3 linked regions of the Rattus norvegicus genome follow. The protein of the gene in region 3 interacts with the protein of the main gene of each other region in a biochemical or structural test. Links are inferred from orthologs where the notes say so. Each region holds a gene or a part of one and is shown on either strand. Other genes may lie near its edges.

The links.
Region 1: the proteins of Trim72 (region 3) and Ube2h form a complex in vitro, tested with the Homo sapiens proteins (2 studies listed by BioGRID). The link is inferred for Rattus norvegicus from reciprocal best matches to the Homo sapiens genes TRIM72 and UBE2H.
Region 2: the proteins of Trim72 (region 3) and Insr form a complex in vitro, tested with the Homo sapiens proteins (2 studies listed by BioGRID). The link is inferred for Rattus norvegicus from reciprocal best matches to the Homo sapiens genes TRIM72 and INSR.

What each region holds. Positions count from the first base shown.
Region 1 is NC_086022.1:59,809,596-59,814,723, reverse strand, and holds part of Ube2h (ubiquitin-conjugating enzyme E2 H), read left to right. Parts: intron 1-2,030; coding exon 2,031-2,159; intron 2,160-5,128. UniProt on the Homo sapiens protein: Accepts ubiquitin from the E1 complex and catalyzes its covalent attachment to other proteins. E2 ubiquitin conjugating enzyme that transfers ubiquitin to MAEA, a core component of the CTLH E3 ubiquitin-protein ligase complex.
Region 2 is NC_086030.1:6,030,316-6,035,443, forward strand, and holds part of Insr (insulin receptor preproprotein), read right to left. Parts: intron 3,488-5,128; coding exon 3,361-3,487; intron 1,680-3,360; coding exon 1,423-1,679; intron 1-1,422. UniProt on the Homo sapiens protein: Receptor tyrosine kinase which mediates the pleiotropic actions of insulin.
Region 3 is NC_086019.1:192,042,550-192,048,149, reverse strand, and holds the start of Trim72 (tripartite motif-containing protein 72), read right to left. Parts: upstream 3,931-5,600; 5' UTR 3,850-3,930; intron 3,417-3,849; 5' UTR 3,410-3,416; coding exon 3,020-3,409; intron 1,603-3,019; exon of another isoform or gene 1,201-1,602; intron 1,150-1,200; exon of another isoform or gene 1,008-1,149; intron 57-1,007; coding exon 1-56. UniProt on the Homo sapiens protein: Muscle-specific E3 ubiquitin-protein ligase that plays a central role in cell membrane repair by nucleating the assembly of the repair machinery at injury sites.

The DNA.
Region 1 (5,128 bases), on a different chromosome or scaffold from region 3:
ATATTACATATCAAACAAGTCCTATAAAATTTTCAATTTTTTTCTCCCCTTCCAAAATAAGATTTCCCTAAGTGGCCCAGGTTGGCCTAGAATTCACTAGGTAGCCCAGGTCAGCTTTCAGCCTCATGAATGCTGGGATTGCCAGTGATCCTGGGTCTTGGGCAGGAACATAAAGGCATCCTATGTCCATGTCAGGTTTGTGGCAGCCCCATATGGGAGACTGTGTCACAAACAGTACACAGTAGAGGGTTTTGAAAATGGTAAAAGTTGGCTATTTTAAGGAATTACTCATAGGGCTGGAGAGTGAACTCAGTGGTTAAAAACCGGCTACTTTTCCAGAGAACCAAGGTTCAGTTCCCAGCACCTCTATGTGACTCCCGTTCCAGTGGGATCTCATGCTGCTTCCAGCAGCTGTGGACCCTGTACACATGACACAGACATGTGCAGGCATAAAACACTCATACATAAAACAAAAATATTTTTGCAGGAAATTATGTCACTTTGAGCTAGTTAATAGGGGTTTCTACCTTACCTGGGATCATTCAGTTCCCAAATAAAAGGCACAAAACCTTCATTTTTTTTTTAAACTTTTTTTTAAGATTTATTTATTTATAAGTACACTGTAGCTGTCTTCAGACACACCAGAAGAGGGCATCAGATCTCATTACAGATAGTTATGAGCCACCATATGGTTGCTGGGATTTGAACTCAGGACCTCTGGAAGAGCAGCCAGTGCTCTTAACCACTAAGCCATCTCTCCAGCCCAACCTTCATATTTATAATAAGTCTTAAAGCACTAGAGCTGGACAGACATCAACCTATGCTATTTTGCCTACTTCCCTATCAATACCCTGGAATTTTAATTTGCCATGTTCTTGCTGGGCCGTTCTTTCTCCAGTTGGCCAACCCTCATGGTGTCTTCTGTATGTTTGTGTCTGTCTGTCTGTCCTTCTCTCTCCTTCCTCTGCCTCAGAGAACCGAAACTCTGCCTACCTCTCTTCTGCCCAGCTATAGGCTGTAGGCATCTCTACTGACCAATCAGGGATACCTTGGTGGGCAAGGTTACACAGCACCACTTGGAGAAGCGGACTAGGGCCTTATTTAGCATTACAATACATAGCAACACACCAACCCTCAACATTGGCGAGATGGCTTAGTGTGGGTAAGCTGTTTGCCATGCACACTTGGTTCCTGGGTTCAGTCCCCTGAACCCATGTAAAGGTGGAAGAGTGAGCCAGCTCCACAGAGTTGCCTGACTCCAGTGCACACCCCACAGCAGATGCTCCCTCACAGTCCTCCTGCATGCACAGAGGAACAAGATGTCGTACAGAGGAATTACAGTAGCTCGGGGTGGAATAGATTGTTGTACATCTTAGTTTGGGAAATGGAGTAGATTTAAAGTGGGAAAATGGGGCTGTGGTCATACCAGCCTATCATAAGATCCTGGATTTGAACTTTCTTTCAACAATGCAGAAAAAGGGGGTTGGGGGGTAAAGGTTGAGAAAATTGCCTTTTAAAGAGAATGCTCTGCGTATGCTCATGTGGCTGCTTAGGTATAAGTTTCAAATATAATTGGTGTTGATGTTATTGTGGAACATACCTTTGTGGGAAATCATCTGCATTGTAGCTGAGCATTTAAGCAGGTAAGCAAGACAGGGAGAAGGGTGTTGGGAGAGCGGAGAGGTAGTTCTGTGCTTAAGAGTGCTTGCTGCTCCGTTGGGGATTTAGCTCAGTGGTAGAGCGCTTGCCTAGCAACTGCAAGGCCCTGGGTTCGGTCCCCAGCTCCGAAAAAAAAGAAAAAAAAAAAAAGAGTGTTTGCTGCTCTTCTAAGGGACCTGCCTGTAGTTCCCAGCGCCATTTGGCCTTGGTGGGCATTTTGCATGCATGTGATGCACATACATTAATGCAGCCTAAAACACATACTTGTAAATAAAAACATTTTTAGAGCATTCTTGACTACTGAATTCCAGTTAATTAGGTGAAATTGCATGTTTCCATGCATGAAGTGGTTTTTTTGTTTGTTTTTTCAGATCTTACCAATATATTTGAGTCCTTCCTGCCCCAATTGCTGGCCTATCCTAACCCCATAGATCCTCTCAATGGTGATGCTGCAGCCATGTACCTCCACCGACCAGAAGAGTACAAGCAGAAAATTAAAGGTAAGATGGCTTGTGCTTTTAGCTGGCCATTTAGAGTCTGTTTTGTTGTGTTTTGTTTTTTGAGACAAAATGTCCACGAAGGCCAAATGGCACTGGAAACTACAAGCAGGTCCCCTAGAAGAGCAGCGAGCAGTTTTTGGGGGGTTTTTTTTTGTTTTTTGTTTTTTTCTTTTTTTTCTTTTTTTTCTTTTTCTTTTTTTTCGGAGCTGAGGACTGAACCCAGGGCCTTGCGCTTGCTAGGCAAGCACTCTACCACTGAGCTAAATCCCCAACCCCCCAGCAAGCACTCTTAACCTCAGAACTACCTCTCTGCTCTCCTAACACCCTTCTCCCCCTCTTGCTCACCTGCTCTGTGTAGCCTTGGCTGTTCTGAAACTCACTCTTTAGGCCATGCTGTCCTGGAACTCGAGATCCACCTGCCTCTGCTTCCTCAGATTAAAGGGATTAAAGGTGCGCACCACCTCCACCACCACCAGCAGCAGCCTAAAGCCTCTTTAAGTGACTCCGTTTCTTGTAGGCTTTCTCTAGTCTGAGAAGAGACTGCAGTGGTCTCATTGACTACCTGTAGGGCTTAGAGCCTATGTTCCCACACTTGGGACCGACCACTTGCATAAGGCTGTGAAAGTACACCGAAAGCTGGAGTTGTGTCTGCTCACCTTCCTTTCTCTTCAGTGTGCCTTCTGGTTGTGCTACAGCCACCACCCCTGCTTGCCCTTACCTGGGTCTGCACTGGGAGCTTGCCTGTGAAACTGGTAGGTGCATAAAGCTTAACACAAAAGGAAGAGACGCCAAGTGTGGCGGCGTCTGCCCCTTGTGCACACACAGCTAGCACTGGGTTCCCGCCTGTTAGATAATGATGTGCTCATCTGCACAGGATATAGCACATCAAGAGCCTCAAGTGGGTCCAAACCCATTGGCCAACAACAGCAGTGAAGGAGAACTTGAGCACATAGGTCTCCAGTTTAGATGTGCAGGGCTCAAGTCAAACAGGAACACTGGGACCATGTGTCGAGTAATAGTTTTCTTCTGTTTGTTTCTCCTATCCCCAGGTCTCTATGGAGTATTGTTGAATATTTTTTTTTTTTTTTGGTTCTTTTTTTCGGAGCTGGGGACCGAACCCAGGGCCTTGCGCTTCCTAGGTAAGCGCTCTACCACTGAGCTAAATCCCCAGCCCTGAATATTTTTGTTTAAAGTAGAAATGTTCGTTTTCATAGGTCTCGAGTACTTTGCAAATTAATAACCTAATTTAATATAGCACAGTAATGTACATAGCTAAAAACCCATGTACTCTAAGTAAACTGCAATTTCAACCATATAAGATTTTGTTAGGAAACTATGCTAAAATTTTGACATTGCCTTCACTTACCAGTGTCTGTAAACCATGGGTATCTTAATACAGAAAATATTTATATAGTTCCAACACCCATTATGCCTTAGCAATATAGTACTGTCATGACTGTACTACAGGTTTGCTCTGGCCCTGGTTGCCAAGGAAACCAGACCTGTGTTCATCTTAGGGTAGATAGCTGCTTCTGTCTGGGGACCCCTAACTTTCTGTGGTGTCCACATTGAGTCAGTTTGCAACCCTTGGTAGGGTGGTGTGAGATGTCGTGGCTGTCAGGCCTGCGCTCTGCCCTGCTCTCTGCTGTACCTCTGCACACCAGTCCCCATCTTCCCTGTGCCTCATTCCTCACACTCACCCTCACCAACTTGTACATTTGCTTCCCTTACTACTGGGATCGCCCATTTCTAAAGCCCTTGTCTGCTGCTTTTAGGACTTATGCTTCCTGCCCTGAAACCATACCCCTCTCTACCAAAGCTGGAGCCTCACTTCCTCCAAACCTGTGGATCCTTCTCAGGCCCCATACCTGGGCCTCGCTACAACTCTGGTGTTTCCTTCTACTCTGGTTCTCATTCCCATTTCCTAAATGTGACTGTCTTAGTCAGGGTCTCATTGCTATGAACAGACCCCATGACCAATGCAACTCTTGTAAAGACAACATTTAATTGGGGCTGGCTTACAGGTTCAGAGGTTCAGTTGGTTATCATCAAGGCGGGAGCATGGCAGCATCACAACATCCAGGCAGGCCGGTGCAGAGGGAGCTGAGTTTCTACATCTTCACCTGAGGGAAGCCAGGAACAGCCTGAGCATCCCCAGGCAGCTAGGAGGAGGATCTCCAAGGCACCCCCACAGTGACACACTTCCTCCAACAAGGTCACACCTTCTAGTAGTGCCACTTCCTGGGCCAAACATATGCAAACCATCACAGTGACCATTCTCTTATGACCAATATACGCTTTTACCCCCAGGCTCCCCCCTCTCCCCTGAGTACCTTATCCATGGCTTTCAGTAATCCTCTAGATAATGTTGGCTCAGCGGGGTGTGTCTAGGCCTGACCCTTTTCTCAGGTCATCTTTACAGTGGTAGTCACAGCTTAGCACACTTCATCATAGAGAGTCGGAACTGCTTCTCCCCCAGGCCTTAGCATTTAGTCTACCTGATGCTGTTTACCTGCAGGTGTGGCACACAGCGCTGCTAGAGAGATGATGTCTCAACAGCGAATGATGTACACATACCAGTGACATAACACCTCCATAAGACCACACCTTCTGACCCGTCCCAGTTTCAATAACTGGGGGCCAAGTATTCAAATGGATGAGCCTACGGGGGACATTCTAATTCAATGCACCACACAAATGATTAAGTTCAGTTCTCAGCACCCATATCCACAGACCACTACTGCCTGGAATTTCGGCTTTAGAGGATCCAATGTCTCTGGTATCCTCGGGTAGTGTCCCCCTCTCCCCATAGACAGACACACCCATATCCACATCAATAAATATAAAAATAAATCTTTTAAAATGCAGGTGTAAAAACACAGTTGAGTACAGCCAGCCTGTAGGTGACATGGGGACCCTTGGTCTTGTCTAAAGATAGGTAACTCCCATGCAAAACCTTCACTAGTAAG
Region 2 (5,128 bases), on a different chromosome or scaffold from region 3:
CTATTATTTTATTGTTGTTTTAAGGTTGTGACAAGGTCTTAATATGTAATCCAGGCTGGCCTCAAACACACAATTCCCTTGCCTCAGCCTCCCAAGTGATGAGACTACAGATGTGTATACCAGGGCTAATTCTCATTTTTAATTAACTAATTAAGATACTTATTGATTGAATTCACTTCTTTTTTTTTTCATATTTCTTTTTTTTTTTTTTCGGAGCTGAGGACCGAACCCAGGGCCTTGTGCTTGGTAGGCAAGTGCTCTACCACTGAGCTAAATCCCCAACCCCGCATGTGTCCATTTCTGTGTGCACATGTGTGTGTATGTGTGTGTGCACTTACATTGTGTGTTAGATGTGTGAATGTGTGTTCTAGTATATGTTCAAATATGTTTTATGTGGTATGTGAGCATATTATATGTGGTATGTGTGTGCATACACATGTGCTACATGTGGTGATTGTGTGATATGTGGTATCTGTGTGAGTATTATAAGTAGTATGTGTATTATATGTGTTATGTATAGGCACATTTGTGCATATGTGTTACATGCAATGTGTGTGTTACATGTAATATGTGTGCATATTATATATGTTGGGCAGGTGTGTATGAGTGAGTGTATGCTGCATATGATATGTGTTATATGTGGTATGTGTGTGCATATACATGTGCTACATGTGGTGACTGTGTTATATGTGGTGTCTGTATAGTATATGTAGTATGTGTGTTATATATATGCATACTTACACATGTGTGTTACATGCAATGTGTGTGTTATATGTAACATGTGTGTATATTATATATGATGGGCAGGTGTACATGTGTGTTGCATATGGTATGTGTTAGATGTGCTGTGTGTGTATACATGTGTGTATTACATGTAGCATGTGTTGTATGTGGTATGTTATATGTAGCATGTGTTATATGTGGGAGGTGTGCATGTGTGTGTTAGATAGGTGGTACCTCTGCATGCGCAGAGCCCAGCAGAGGAATCAGGCATCCCATTCTATCACTGTCTACCTTACTCTTTTGACACAGGATCTTTCATTGAAACTGAAGCTAGGCTGGCAACTATCAAATCCTAGCATCACCTTGCCCTGTCCTTGAGCCCCAGTGCTCTGGGAGTAGAGGCAAGTACATGGAAACCCTTGGGACCCAGGACTCCGGAGCACGAACATGGTCATACCCAGCTTTCAATGTGGTAATGGGAGCATCATACAGTCTTACCCACCAAGCCATCTTCCCAACCCAAAAGGGAACTCTCGAACTCTGAAGTGGTTCATGGGTTATAGTCATTATATATGAAAACATGAGCCTCAGCTCTTAGCTCCTCTACAGGCCAACCACAGCAAAGCCTGTTACAGAAGCTGCCTACCACAGATACAGAGTCGGTTCAACAGCAAAGCCCTATTCCCAGGACAAACTTACTGGTGGCATCTGTTTGCACATAGATGATATCACTTTTGGCTCCATAGGTCCGGCGTTCATCAGAGAAGGTAACCAAGGTCTTGACAAAGATGGCATACTGGGTCCAGGGTTTGAGGCCCCGCATCAGCCACCCAGGGTGGCTTGGGGTCTGAGACTTAGGGTCGTTGGACCTCTGGGGCGGGTCAATATCCACCACAGTCCAGCTGTTGGAGCCACACGCATCCTGCCCGTCAAACTCTGTCACGTTCTGATAAGGGCTTTTGAGAAATGAGAGGGAGAGGTGGGTTACCACTGTGTAAATGTCAATCTCAGTACTAAGTGGAGTGGGGGAGAGTTACGAGATGTAGACTCACTTCTCTCTTTGATTTAGTGTTCAGGTGCAGGTGTGTGTGTGTGTGTGTGTGTGTGTGTGTGTGTGTGTGTGTGTGTGTTTACAGGGTGAAGTGTATGTGCGTGGACCTGGAGAACAGCATCAGGTTCCATGAACTTTGTTTTTTCTGTCTGTTGAGATGGACTCTAGTCCTAGTTGGCTTCAAACTCACAGACGTCTACCTGCCTCTGTGTCCTCAGTGCTGGGACTAATGGCATTCACATCTGAGTGCCACCTGTGTTTGCAGTCCTAAAATTCACCTCCAAAGCTACTCTGGCTAGTCAGAGCCCCCAAAAGATCTGTCCATGTCTGCTTCTTTGTACTTTGAGACTTTAAGTACATTCCACAGCATGTGTCTTTCTAGAAGTAGGAATGTGCATCTGAGTGTGTGCAGTCACATGTATGTGCTTTCAAGGGCCAGAGGGAACACTGGACCCCTGGTTCTGATGGTTGAGAGATGCCTTACTTGGATGCTGGAAAGCGAACTGAGGTCCTTGGAAGCATGGTAAGCACACGTAACTACTGAGCTTCCTCTCCAGCCTCTCCCAAGCTCGCGGCAGAGTGTGATGAGTTCACAATGCTGACTACGCTCACAGAGTATCAGTTCTCAACTTACCATGGAGCCATAAGGGTAAATAACTAAGGCTCTGTGGCATAGCGAGGGTGTACGGTGTGTGGTAGCTTAGGTGTAGTCAAGGCATTCTTTTTTTTTTTTCTTCCCACTCCAACATTTTCTATGTTCCCCATAGAAAATTTCATATTCCCTACATGAGTCAGCAACATATGACCGCTGGGCCTGTGAGATGGCTCAGTGGACAAAGAGCTTGCCGTACAAACACGAAGACCAGAGTTCGATCCCTAGCACCCATGGAAAGGCCAGGTGTGGTAGTGAACATTTGCAATGCCAGCACCGTGAGATGGAGACAGGTAGATACACCCCCAGCCTAAATGAAGAGGAAAATGGGAGGAGCTGTGCAGTGCTGACTATTGGACATGGCGGACATGGCATGGTCGCTCCACACAGCAACTCATGCCAGCTGGGACTGCCTGAACCAGATCAAGCCGATTGACATTTCAGCAAGGATGGCGGAGGGCACCAAGGTCCTCTCCTAGAGGAGGAGTAGTCCTTTGGGGACATGGATGCTCTAGGGATATCTCCATGTGCATGCATGCACACATGGGCAGCACTTACTGAATTCAAAGGCTTGTTAACAACACAGAGAGCATGTGAAGCTTAGGGACTAGCAGGATGGACACACTAGGGGATGGTGGAGGGAGAACATGGTGGATGGATATGATCACACTATACTACAGAGATGTGTGAAAATGTAAAGGAATGCGTAAAACATCTTCTTTTAAAGGGGAGCATGATCTGAGCGCCAGCATTCATCTCTATGCCTCCTGTCAGCCGTGATGTCATGTGACCAGCTGCTTCATGTTCCTGTTGCTATGACAACCCCACCATGTAAACTGTGAGCCAAGATGGAACTTCCCTTCCTTAAACTTCTTCTTGACAGTCTTTGTCTGTCTCTGCAACAAGGAGCAAACATCTACCTCCTCTTACTTACGCCTCTTTGTAGAACAGCATGAATCCCAGGAGATCTCGGAAGTCGGGGGGCCAGTAGGGCTCCCACCTCAGCAAGATCTTGTCAAAAGACGTCCGGATGAAAGAGAATTTAAGTAATTCATTTTCACCTAGAAAGGGTCAAGAGAAAAAAAAAAGTCAGGCAATTGGATTGAATAGTTAGCTTCAGACCAAAGTAGTCAACCTCCTGCCTCTTTGGGAAGAGAGTTAGATCAAAGGATGGCAGGAGACCTGTCTTCATTTTGTTGCTGTGATAAAATATCATAAGAAAAAAGCAGCTTAAAGGAGGAAGAGTTTGTTTGGCTACAATTACAGGTCAGACTGTCATTTCAGGGAAACTAAGGTAGTGAGTCATTGATCATTTCTCATCATCCACAGTCAACGGCAGAGAAGAGGACATGAGGATGATGCCTGCCGGCTGCTCAACTTAGCTTTCTCCACTCTCATGCTCAAGACCCAGTCCATGGAATGGCTCTTCTCATTTCAACAATCAATCAAAAACAAAGCCAAGCCAGCCAAGTCTACTTGGTGAGCTCTGGGCCAGCAAGAAACCCTCTAAACAATCAATCGTCAACCAAGAAAATGCTCCACAGGCATGACTGAGGACCAGTCTGACCTGGGATTCAGTTAAGATTCTCTCTCTATGGGGTTGGGGATTTAGCTCAGTGGTAGAGCGCTTGCCTAGGAAGCGCAAGGCCCTGGGTTCAGTCCCCAACTCCGAAAAAAAGAACCAAAAAAGATTCTCTCTCTATGTGACTCTAGACTGTGTTAGGTCTACAATGAAAACAGGGGCGTATAGGATCTGCTACTGCTTACATGGGCCTCATCCACATAAGTAGCAACTGGTCCTGCTGAGTTTGAAAGGTGAGGAGTCAGCAGATAACTCGGTATTGAAGACCAAGCTGAATCTAATGCTCAACTGAACCCTGGATGATCCAGGCCAATGCAAAAAGAACAGCTAATTGGCCACTTTTGAGCAAAGGGGTGGTCTCGGTTATGTGTGTGTATGCGTACGTGTATATGCGTATGTGTATGCATGCTCATGTATTTGCAGGTGTGATGGCTAATCTTGGTCATCAACTTGACACACCTGGGAAGAAGAACCTCACTGAAAATCTTCCTCCATCAGATTGGCCTGTGGTCATGTCTGTGAAGCATGTTTTTGACTGATGATTAATGTAGGAAGGGCCCAATCTATTATGGACAGTGCCATGCCTGGGTAGGTGGCCCTGGGCTTATATAAGAAAGGTAGCTAACCCATAAACAACATTCTTCCATGGTCACTGCTTCAGTTCCTGCCTCTGGGCCTTGAGTTTTGCCCTGAGCTCCCTGAATGATGCATTGTGATCTGGAAATGTGAGAGAAAATAAATCATCCCCAAGAAGCTTTGGATGAAAGCAACAGAACTGATCCATTTTTCTAGCCCCAAACTTCATCTTGTCACTGCTTCCCAGGTGATATACACTGCTGCATATATTTCATCAGCCATGATGCCCTCAGCATTAGTTTTATGCTTATGGGACATAAAACATTGTGCTTTGTGCAACTGGCTCAGACAAGATACGTAAACCCTGCCTTGGCAGGCTGCGAAGACGGTTTACTTGGTGAATGCTCTAAGTGTGTGAATTCTCAGGAATAAGCCTGGGGATCTGAGTTCTGTCCACAGAAGCCATGTTTTGGGGGAGAGGAGAAGGAGGAAGAATTAAAAAGGAGAGGAGGGGGCAAAAGAAGAGGAGAAGGAGGAGAAGGAA
Region 3 (5,600 bases):
TTCTCCTTGCGCATGCATGCCTCCTGCAGCTGGGCCTTCTGTTGTGGAAGCTGTGTCTATGGGGAAAGTCAAGAGAGGATCGTAATGACACCCCCATGCCATCTGTTCTTTCCCCTCCATGTTAGCTCCTTCTCCAGCCCTCTGCCTGTCCCCTATCCACTTACTTACCTCTGGGTCTGGCCATACTTCATCCTAGTACTTTTTGCCTTTGGTGTTCTATTTTTATTTTAAATTTTATTTGTATGAGTACACTGTACTTCATACACACCGGAAGAGGACATCTGATCCCATTACAGATGGTTGTGAACTCAGGACCTCTGGAAGAGCAGTCAGTGCTCTTAACTGCTAAGCCATCTCTCCAGCCCGATGTTCTATTTTTTTTAACTTCCCACTGGCCTTAATTTCTCCAGCATCACCTGCAAGCACTTAACCCCAGTATAGGTCCTTGCAAGGATCACAAACACAAGATCACCACCAGACTGCAAAGTATAGCACGTGGCACACAACAGGCTTCCAGAAATGAGTGAAGGGTGAATGAAAAAAGAAAGGACGCTAGCTAGCCATGATAGTCCATGTCTGCAACCCCAACTCTCAGGAGGCTGAGGCAGGAGAATCACAAATTTGAGGTCCAGCCTGAGCTACATAACAATACCTAAGACCTTGTCTCAGAAGAGAAGAAGGAAGAGAGAGGAAGGAAAATGAGGGGGAGGAAGAAGCAGAGAAGGAGTGGGGAGGAGGGGGAGGAGGAAAAAGGGGAGGAGGAAGAAGGAGAGGGAGTATAATCTTCCCTTCCTGTGTTTCACCCCTTACTTAAAAATGCAGCCATAGTCAGCTGGTGCCCTAGCCAGCCCTTTCCAGGCCTATGGGCTCCGAGGACAGAAAATCTAGTGTACACACCCACTAGGGACCAGCTAAGCCTTCTGTGAGCTGTCTAGGGACCACTGGAGTGCAAGCATGGGAGAGCTTCTAACAGTAGGTCCCTGCCGTGGTTACCCCTGCCTTCTTACCACCACTGCTCTTCTTAGCCTCCTCTTCCTCCTCTGCAGAATGGGACAGTAACACCCCCACTTCAACCAGATGACACCTCCTGCTCCCCTGGGGAAACTGATGACGCAAGGTGGTGTTTGTTGAGGAATAGCAGCCCAGAGGAAACCACAGGGCTGAACCAAAGACTACTGGCTAGCTGCCAGATCAATCTCTTCCTCAGATGGTCTTCCTTGAGGCATCCACATCTGTTGTCAGTGAGGATAGCCTGGTTGCTCCAGGTGCTTGTGATCAGAGGTTCAGAGGACTCAGGGCTGAGCCATGGCAAACAAGCACCATCAGAAGGTATTAGGGTGTCTGACTACCCCAAGAAGTTCAAGCTTGAAGCTAGCTCCACTCCCGAGGGCTTTTGACACATCCTGGGAGATGAGGGAACCTGGGCCACTGGATGCCATCAACCTCACCACCAAGCCGGTTGCCTCCTACTTCGAGGACTACACAGTGTCAAACCCATAGCGACCATGGCGCAGGACATGGGTGTACAGGGATGTGCAGCACAGCTTCAAAAGGCAGTGCGGGCCCCAGTACCCAGGAACTTGCCCAACCACACTGAGTCTGGTAAGTGGGTTCCTGACCCAACCCTCTAGCCTGTCAAAGCTCCAGAGCTCCTCCTGTCTCCACCCCAGCCCCACCTTGGGCTCTTTTCTGGGGTCTCCTTTTTCAGACCTCCTAAGGCTTAAGGCTAAGCTGATGCAGATCCCTGAGACTGGAGCTCCATGTCTGTCCCTTATGTTTCCAGAAGCCTGAGAGACTTCTATTTTACAGGTTAAATATAGTTCACAGACAAAAATGAGTAAGGTTGGGGTTGGGGATTTAGCTCAGTGGTAGAGCGCTTGCCTAGGAAGCGCAAGGCCCTGGGTTCGGTCCAGCTCCGGAAAAAAAAAAGAAAAAAGAAAAAAAAATGAGTAAGGTTAGATAGAGTTCAGGGGTTAGCAAAGAGGAACTGGGCTGGGAGGTCTCCTAACAGCAGACTCACAGCCAGGACTGAACTGAACTAAGGAGGGCACAGGAAGGAGGGTTGTGAGGCAAGGCCCCAGAACGTTTGGGAATTGGTACCAAAGAAGAGTGACGACTAGGTGCTGAGAAAGCAGTGCCTATGAGGCAGCAGAACACAATAGCAACAGCTTCACTGGGCTGGGGAAGGGCCACTCCTTACCTCCAGACCCCACTTCCTCCCCCCACCTCTGCCCCTGCTGCTAGGGGTTTTTTTTCCCCCATAGACCGTCCTGGGCTGGGTAGACACCTATCTGCTATATCTACATGCACATGACTTGGGATATACATGATTTTAGGAGTCTGTGTACTTGGTGTATATCCATTTGACGACAATTGGATTTTTTTCCTGGTGCAACTTCAGGATAACACAATTGTGTAAGGGCTGTATTCTAGTTCAAACTATAATAATAGCTTAGGCTGGAATCTTGGTGCTACCTACCCATGGTGAGCTTTGGCCAGGAATGCCTCACCCTTCCCACTGCCCTTGAAAACTTCAGGCTTGCACAAGTTTAGTAGTTTCAGGAATGAGTGGGCCTCTGTCATTCATCAGTGCGAAGCTGGACTGCCGGCCTCTGGGACTCCTGGGCAAGCCTTTAACTTTCTGTCTGCTAGTCTCACCGTGCAAACATGCCAGCCTAGCAGTTCACCCAAGAATGTGTGGGTAGTTTCCCAGCCCCAATATGCCAGACACACCACGGTTTGGTCAGACCCGGCTCTGGCATGTTCAGGCTTGCTGGAGGATTGCAGCCAAGCAAGCTAGCTAGCTACTCTATAGGCAGCTTCCAGCTGGTTCCTGTGAGCTCTGCTCTGCAGATGCTACATGCGGCCTTTGGACCCATCTTCTGGCTGCCTAGCTCCCCCACTCTCCTTAGCAACCTAGAGCCCATCCTCCAAAGCTCATAACATAAGTCAACTCGCTTCCCAAGGTCAGACCCTTGCTGTAATCAGCAGTCCCACCCAGCCTTCACTGGTCCAGCACCTTGAGACGTGCATGGGCTTCTGCGGCAGGCAGAAGACGGTGACCACGGTGTGAACCGAGAGAGGCACACACACCACACACAAGTGTGCGGTCCTGCTCGCAGTAGATGCTCAGTGGATCCAGGTGTTCCTCGCAGTGGCCTTGGGGCACTTGTGCCAAACCCTCCACAAGGCGTGCCAACTGGAGGTTAGTGCTTAGCGCCTGTGGCCGAGTAGATGCCTGACAACAGGGACAGGCAACCGTGCCATCGTCGGCAGGCTCCCCTGCCACACGGATCAGGCAGGCACGGCAGAAACTGTGGCCACACTCAGCGGTCACTGGTGCATCGAACAGCTGCAAGCACAGCGGGCAAGACAGTTCCTGGCGCAAAAGGCCTGGTGCAGTCGACATGGTGAGCCTGGGAAGAGGAGTCCCATCAGACAAACTCAAAGACAAGAATTCCAGTTCAGTCCTATGCGGGATCTGTGTCCCAGCAGCCAGAGCTCCATCCTATAACTACCTCACATCCCATAGTGGAAGAGACTCTGGTTATGGTCAAATGGTAAAGAGGATGTGGTCTCATCCCAAAGTGAGTGTATATTGCCATTCTCAGCCCAGATAGAAGCAAATGTGACCCAACGGGGCATTTATCAACCCCGGTTTCTAAACACTACCCAATTCCACCCACTCCTTGCTACTGACTTAGCCCAGGCTTCAGCCTGTGACCTAGGTCTGGGCCTTCGTTCCTCTGGAATTATCTAGAATCCCCTCCCCAATTGACCTTCCACTGACCTCTCTCTAGCATACCTAACCCTCTCTTTCCCCCTTATCTCCAGGCCCATAGGACTTACAGGTCTGGTGGGAAAACTTAGGCCAGAAAAGATTTCCAGGAGGACCAGTCAGGAACAGGCTTAACAGCAGGGTGACCGGAGTTATGTCCAGAGACAAGCAAGAAGCAAGCAGCAGGCTCAATGCAAGGGCAGGGACTCAGGGCCAGATGGCAGTGGGTGGACGTAACAGGTGACATGCACATAGTGGACAGACCCTCCCAGATAGTTCAATGGCCCAAGAACTATATTTAGCTGTCCTATCCACTCCCTCCCACCACTTTCTGGAAACTGTTCTAAATGTGGAGTGTGAGTAGTCAGCAGGAACATGTCCATGTCTAGGCCACCTGGCCGCGCCTGTCCTGGTCCTTTCCTCAGGCCATGGTAGAATTTAGAGTCAGTGGACAAACAGGGCTGCCTCTTCAAGCACTTCTATGCTGGCCTGCCTTCCTCCTTGATGCTATTAGTTAACCTATTCATTTCCTAAGTTGACCACTTACCAAAGCCACACTGGCAGTGTTAACCCCACCTGTGGGAAGGCAGGACCTCCTTCCTCTATAACTAAGGTGAGGGTATTTTTCCTCTATTTTCTAGCATAGGCCCTGGAACAAAGTATCCCCTCCCCCAAACACTTGGAGAATGCAAGAAAGGTAGTTAAATGAATGAACTGAGCCTACAGCTCAAAACTGGACTTGCCCTCCCTGGGCACACCAGACTTTCTTATATGCTTATCTTTCAATTGGCAATATCAATTTTAATCAGAATAAAAATCAAAGTCTTCCTTATGACCTACAATTTATACCCATCTGGCCCCATTCATTGCTCTGACCTGTGCCTCACCCTTTCCCCCTGGTCCTTGGAGGACTTTGTCCTTGCCACTCTGTCTAGAACATTCTTGCAATCCCAGATATTGCATAGCTCTTTTCCTTCTCTCCTCAGATCACTTCTCAGCGTCAAGCTTCCAGTGATGCCTTTTCAGACTCCTAGATCTTTTTCTTAAACCCTGAGTGTCACAGAGCTGCTTACAGTAACAAGACAGATACACAACATTCCGTCACATCTTTAAATTTTAAGTACCAAGCTAAAGAAATGGCTCAATGGTTAAGAGGCATTGTCTACTCCTCCAGAGTACCTTAGGTCTGTCCCCCAAGCTGCTCACAACCATCTACAACTCCAGCTCCAGACAACCTGTTATTTCCTCTTCTGACCTCTGTGGATACTAGGCACACAAGTGGTACATAAACACACATGCATACACCCAAACATATAAATAATTTTAAGGCATTTTTTAAAAAATGCAATTGAAGCAAGAGGTTGGTGTGGAGTGACTTATGCCTGAGAAGCTGAGGCAAGAGGAGAGAGTCCCAGCTGCTGGCACAGAGTGACGTGTAGATTATGTGGTGTGGCCTAGAGGCACTGTGGAGCCTTGTGGGATTTAGAAACCTCACCTGGGGCTCCCACTGAAGAAGGCTGACTCCGGGCCATGTGCAGAGGCCAGGTGGGTGGAGGTTGCAGGAAGGCGATGTGCCCCAGCCTCCCCACTGGTTGTGCACAGGTTTCTTCGGTGTCCAGACACTGCACAAGGTCATCTGCTTAAACTGAATTGTTTTTTTCACCCAGAAAATGAAATACACAGCCTCCAGCGACTGGATGAAAACACACAATAACTCCTTTCTCTCAAGGAGAGTTTCAAGAGACTTCAGCTTGGGTTGCCCAAGTCATTTGACTGGAAGATTTGTCTATGTGCACTAAAGGAGAATCTGGCCCTACTGTGT